Cricetulus griseus: one gene and its partner. The protein of the gene in region 2 purifies or fractionates together with the protein of the main gene of each other region. This does not show direct contact. Links are inferred from orthologs where the notes say so. Each region holds a gene or a part of one and is shown on either strand. Other genes may lie near its edges.

Evidence for each region.
Region 1: the proteins of Prkag3 (region 2) and Prkaa2 purify together in Homo sapiens (affinity purification with mass spectrometry; 3 studies listed by BioGRID and IntAct, counting the BioPlex papers as one, with this or other methods). This does not show direct contact. The link is inferred for Cricetulus griseus from reciprocal best matches to the Homo sapiens genes PRKAG3 and PRKAA2.

Annotation. Positions count from the first base shown.
Region 1 is NC_048595.1:44,806,002-44,809,660, forward strand, and holds part of Prkaa2 (5'-AMP-activated protein kinase catalytic subunit alpha-2), read left to right. Parts: intron 1-3,260; coding exon 3,261-3,659. UniProt on the Homo sapiens protein: Catalytic subunit of AMP-activated protein kinase (AMPK), an energy sensor protein kinase that plays a key role in regulating cellular energy metabolism.
Region 2 is NC_048595.1:427,972,829-427,975,559, reverse strand, and holds the end of Prkag3 (5'-AMP-activated protein kinase subunit gamma-3), read left to right. Parts: intron 1-1,429; coding exon 1,430-1,467; intron 1,468-1,616; coding exon 1,617-1,763; intron 1,764-2,062; coding exon 2,063-2,179; downstream 2,180-2,731. UniProt on the Homo sapiens protein: AMP/ATP-binding subunit of AMP-activated protein kinase (AMPK), an energy sensor protein kinase that plays a key role in regulating cellular energy metabolism.

The DNA.
Region 1 (3,659 bases), about 380 Mb from region 2:
TAATCTGGGGTCCATATGCTCCCCCTTGTTCAGGCCAGCTGTTTCTAAGGAGAAACAGATTTTTTAAAAGATGCCATGACTTAATAAGTCCTCCAGCCTTTGAATGTGGTTCTGTGTTTGTTATCTCCACTTCTCTAATAGGCAGTTGATAACCCTGCCTTTGCTTTCATTTCCTTCTTGTGCAGAGCCTCAAAGCCACCCAGTGATGACAAATTAGGGTCTTTTCAGTTTTTTCCTGGGCACATATCTGGCCTTTGTGAGTCTCAGGAATAAGGGAAAACTTCTCAGACCTTTTGCACTCTTTATTTTCTTACCTAACTTTATAGGTGAGGTTCTTGTTACACAGCTCTCGTTACTGCTTCACACACCTGGAATATTAAACAGTGGCCACTGGTTTTGTTTGTTTGTTTTTTAAACAAATAGTCTGGTGGCTTTCAGTAAGTGAGCTGTAAGTCACATCAGAGATAAAGTTGTGCGTGGAAATATGCAGGGAATTGCTCGATGTCTTAGGCTTTCTATTGCAGCACTATTGTGTCCAAAATCAACTTGGGGAGGAAAGGACTAATTTCATTCTATACTTCCAGGTGACTGTCCATTACTGAGGGAAATCAGAGAAGGAACTCAAGTAAGGCAGGAGGCTTCGAGGAGTGCTCCTTACTGGCTTGCCTCTCATGACTTACTCAGCCTGCTTTCTTTTTGTTTTTGTTTTTCTTTCTTTATAATAATTTAATTTTTTTTTTTAGTTTTTTTTAGTCTCCTCCTCCTCCTCCTCCTCCTTCTTCTTCTTTTTTTTTTTTTTGGTTTTTCAAGACAGGGTTTCTCTGTGGCTTTGGAGGCTGTCCTGGAACTAGCTCTTGTAGACCAGGCTGGTCTTGAACTCACAGAGTACTGGAGTACTGGGATTAAGGGTGTGTGCCACCACCGCCCAACTCAGCCTGATTTCTTATACAATTTAGGACCACCTGCCCAGTGTGGTACCACTCACAATGGGCTGGGCCCTCCCACATCAGTCATTAGTCCAGAAAATGCCCACAGACTTGCCTGTAGACCAGTCTTATGTATACATTTTCTCAAATGGCATTCGCTCTTCTCAGATATGTCTAAATTTGTGACGAAAAACAACCAGCACACTAGATGTCAAAGAGTGGTTGTTTTCGTGGGTTGGAACTTGTAGGGAGCTCCAGTACTCTGTTTCTCCATCCTTGTTACTGCAGTGATTTTTCTCAGTCGTGTGATTGTGAGGCTCATAAATTTTAAGGCTTCTGGGAAGCTGATAAAATAGAGCTGCTTAAAAATGCCAGCTTAAAAACCCAAGCCTCACTTTTCTACTGAAGGTCAGTCAGCATTTAAACAAAATTCCCCAGATTATTACAGACTTTTGGGAAACTTCTGTAGTTATAAAAAGTTATTTTGAACATTTTTGCTACAACTCTCCACAATACCTGATTTCTTTTACCACTCCATCCTGTGTCCCAGGGTGATATTGGACCACAGCAGTTCTTGTAACATGACAAAACCCTTTGTTGTCTCAAGACTTAACAGATATTGTTTCTTTTGCTGCAGCATCTTTTTCTACATATTGTTTAGCTGACTTCTGAGTGTTCTGGTGTGTGCTTAAATGTTAACTTGAGTGGCTTCCCTCCTCGGCCTCCCATTCTGAACCATAGGCTCTTGTTTATTGTTTTCTACTCCCAGGTTTTATCAGAATATTTGTGTATTTGTAGTCATTTATATTTTAAAACCTGTTTATATCCACCTGGTATATAATCTCTGAGGACTATTTGATAGTAGTCAGAACATCAGACACAAAGGTCCAGAAAGTTAGAGGAAATGAGATTAGGAGAGCAGTCTGCAAAAAGTTTAGTTTTAGTATCTTTTTATACTCTTGTTGTTGAGGACCTAAATTATTTTTAGTGAATGATATACCAATAGTTAGCATATAATAATTAAATTTAGAATTGAATTTACTTAAAAATATGTTCATTTAAATGTTTTAATCAAACAAATAACCTAAGAATTTGACCTAAGAGACTTGAACTTCCTAGGCAAATACTCTACCACTGACTTACATCTCTGGTCCCCTCCCCTATCTCCTTTTACATTTTATTTGATATAAGGTCTCACTAAATTAGACAGGATGGTTTGTAATTTTTTTTGTAGCGGAATCAAGCCTTGAACTTGAGATTCTCCTGAATCAGCCTTCTGAATTACTAGGATAATAAGTGTACACCACCAAGCCTTATAGTAATCTCTATTATGAAAGTGTTCCCAAAACATTGTAAAAAGCATCATCTTACACTTTTATGAATGTCCTCAGTGTCTAGTTTAATCAAACACAGGCTAGAATCTCAGTGTACTTCTTCATTTAATCTTGAACCTTTATTTATTTGTTTGTTTGTTTTTTAAGATAGGGTTTCTCTGAGTAACAGCCCTGGCAGGCCTGGAACTCACTTTGTAGACCAGACTGGCCTCAAACTCACAGAGATCCACCTGCCTATGCCTCCCAAGTGCTGGGATTAAAGGCATACACCACCACCACACAGCTAATCTTACAATATTTTACATTAGTTGAAGTTCCTGAGGAAAATCTGAACTCTGGTAAGTGGCTGAAAAATAAAGGATTTTTTAATAGCCACTCAGATAATAGTGATATTCTTTGATACTAAAACAAAGCTTTACGTACTAGCTTATAGTTTGCAATATCAAATGAGAAAAAATTAATTAACTTTTGTATTTTGCCACACTATAATAATATATTTTAAATTTTAAGGGACTCTCTTATGCATGTGTAATTCTGTCACACCATTGGGAAATCTTGCATTATTGAAATATACAAATTTCCCAAATTTCATTTTATGCTATCAAAAATCATATTCATTATTATCAATACTAGCTTCACCAGAACATCTTCAGGTCTTGAGAAACCATCAAACCCCAGGGAACAGGTACCAATTACTATCCACCATCTGAAATTTTTCTTGGGAACTTAGATTCTACCATTGACCACAAATATTGTTAGTTGTTTTCCTTGAAGTTATAGACCCACTTAGTTCATTTTCAAGGAAATCTCTCAAGTCTGAATATATTTTTTTTAAGGATAGAAATTAGTTAACTGGCCCCAGGGTCACATAGCCAATAGCAGCAGAACTGGAATTAGAGAGCAGTATTTTAGAGTCTTTATGTTGTATTGCCCCATGTCTAAATTATTTGGGACTGACTAAAGCATGTTCTTATAATAGTGTGTATGGTGTTTTTCCTAGAGAACATGAATGGTTTAAACAGGATTTGCCCAGTTATCTATTTCCTGAAGACCCCTCCTATGATGCTAACGTCATTGATGATGAGGCTGTGAAAGAAGTATGTGAAAAATTTGAGTGTACAGAATCAGAAGTAATGAACAGTTTATATAGCGGTGATCCTCAAGACCAGCTTGCAGTGGCGTATCATCTTATCATTGACAATCGGAGAATAATGAACCAAGCCAGTGAGTTCTACCTCGCCTCTAGTCCTCCAACTGGTTCTTTTATGGATGATAGTGCCATGCATATCCCCCCAGGCCTGAAACCACATCCTGAAAGGATGCCACCTCTTATAGCAGACAGCCCCAAAGCACGGTGTCCATTGGATGCACTGAACACAACTAAGCCCAAATCTTTAGC
Region 2 (2,731 bases):
TTTTTCTGAAGAAAGTCAATTGCAGACATTGGATCATATTGGCCCTAGCACTTCAGTCTAAATCTCTTGCAATAAGCATATTTTATGCAACACAACTGTGAATAACTGGACAGCTGAGATGGCTCAGCTGGCAAAAGCACTTGCCAATCAAGCCTGATGACCCGAGTTCACTCCCCAGAACACACACCAAGGTGGAAGCAGAGAACCAACTCCTGAAAACGGCCCTCCTCTGACCTCCACATTCGTGCTGTGGCTCACACACACGCAATAATAATAAACAGAATTAGAGGGTTTTATTACGTTTACTTCATCATTTAGGTGTGTGCTTGCACATGCATGTGGGCGCCTATGTGCCACAGCACGTATGAGGGGGTCAGGGACAGCTTTCAGGAGTCCGTTCTCTCCTCCCACTGAGTGAGTCCCAGGGATCAAATTCAAGTTGTCAGGAATCTCACTGGCCCTTAAAGTATCGTTTTAAAAAGAGAACAGTTATTTTTAAAACTATGACTGATTTATTGTGACCTAATTTCCAATCCTTATTCTCATTTTCCCACTTCTCCCAAGAATGACTTCAAAAAAAAAAAAAAAAAACCCAAATCCAAATGAAGTTCATGTTTCTCATTTCTTCATTTGTCCTTGAAGTCTGTTTAAACCTAAGCCTGTACCCTTTCCTTTCATTTTTATGGCACAGGTCACTAGAAAAGTCTGAATTAATTTTCCTATATCTTACCTTCAAGGACATAGAGATAGCTTGGCAGACAAAGACGCTTACAGATAAGCCTGGTGACCTGAGTTCAATCCCGGGGACCCACATCGTAGGAGAGAATTGACACCTGAAAATTGTCCTCTGATCTCCATACATGTATGTGCTGTGGCACTACAGTGTGCATGCACACGTGCGCACACACACACACACACACACACACACACACACACACACGCGCGCGCGCGCCACACACACAACACACACACACACACCACACACACGCGCGCACACACACACACGCACACACACACACACATATACACACACGCTAACAAATATAGTTTAAAAAGTTAAGAAAAAAAATCCCATGTCCAGATTTGTCCATTTGCCTCCTGGAGGTGGCCGTGCCTCGGTCCCCTGTTCCTGTTTCCTGTGAGCCAGGAATTGAACCTAAATGACATATATCTGTACACTATGAGGCTGGCATATTTCACAGGTGATGCCATGTTCTCCCTGCAGCTCACAGGAGCCTGACGTCAGGCATCTCAATGATGATGCTAAGCCTAGGTAGGGGCAGCAAGATGCCCTATGACTAAGCCAAGCAGCCTGGGGGGACTATCCAGGAACTAGTTTCAAAAGCTGTCCCCATGTACCCTGAAGAACACCCTGGTTCTGAGCTGTGCTCTTTTCTGTCTTTTTTTTTTTTTCCATTCTCTGCTGCAGGTCAGGTCGTGGGCCTCTACTCCCGCTTTGATGTCATTGTAAGTGTTTGTAGGGACTGGGGGTGCTACAGGGAGGCTACAGTATGAGGATCAATCTGTTGCTACCTTTTGCAAGCGTGTCAGAGTGCAATCTCCAGGCTACAGCCTAGGTAATGAGGTAATCCATGACTCCCTTCCCCTTGCCCCAGCACCTGGCTGCCCAGCAAACCTACAACCACCTAGACATGAGTGTGGGAGAAGCTTTGAGGCAGAGGACACTGTGTCTGGAGGGGGTTCTCTCCTGCCAGCCCCATGAGAGCTTGGGTGAAGTCATTGACAGGATTGCTCGGGAACAGGTACCTTGCACCCCTCCCGGCATGCCCTCAACATAGATGGCCTAGTTCTTTGCATAGCTTGTATACTGGGCACTTGACCTGTCTTCCCTTTCATGACCAACTTTTGGCATCTGCATTGGGAGGTGTCTGGTCCTGTGCATAGGGCCCCTGTGCCAAGATCCACAGCCAGCTGAGTGCTCAAAGCCATCACCAGCTGTTCCCAGGAGATGTCCTTTGCTTCTTGATCTGTGTTAAGCTTTCCCCTTATTAGCTGCTATAGCCAAAGGTACTGCCCCTCCCTGAACACTGTGGACCCACAGGTGCACAGGCTGGTGTTGGTGGATGAGACCCAGCATCTTCTGGGCGTGGTCTCCCTCTCTGACATACTTCAAGCACTGGTACTCAGCCCTGCTGGCATCGATGCCCTCAGTGCCTGAGAGCTCCCGAGTCCTCACTCCCGAGTCATCTTCCTCACCTGAAAACCAATGAAAGGATCTAGGGGAAATTGGCCTTCATCTTCTCCCACCCCCTTTTGCTGGTTCTGCTCTGGTACAGGTAGGCTCTGCTGTGAGCTGTAGGGCTAGTCCCTCAGGCTTTCTGAGCTCCTGATCTCAAGTTAGGGTACCCTGAGGATGGCAGTGGCACCAGCTATCACTGAGCAACCTCATAGAAACTGTCAACAAAGCCTTTTCAAACCACTACTTTGTCCCATCTCCAGCTGAGGTTGTGGAGGTCCTGCTGGAAGGGATGGATGGAGGCAGGGCATCCTGAGCTCTGGGAAGGTATAGCTGCCTTCTCTCCATTCTCTTCCCACTGGGAATTTCTTGAGAATAAAGCAAGCTAACAACCTTTTGTTGAATGCATTTCTATTATCAGCATTGACTAATATGGGAGGGAATTTCCATTTACTGCTTATTTCAATGAATTTGTCAAATTGTGGACTGTCCTGGTACCATGCTTGGTTGGGGGGCATTGCCAAAGGATGGGGC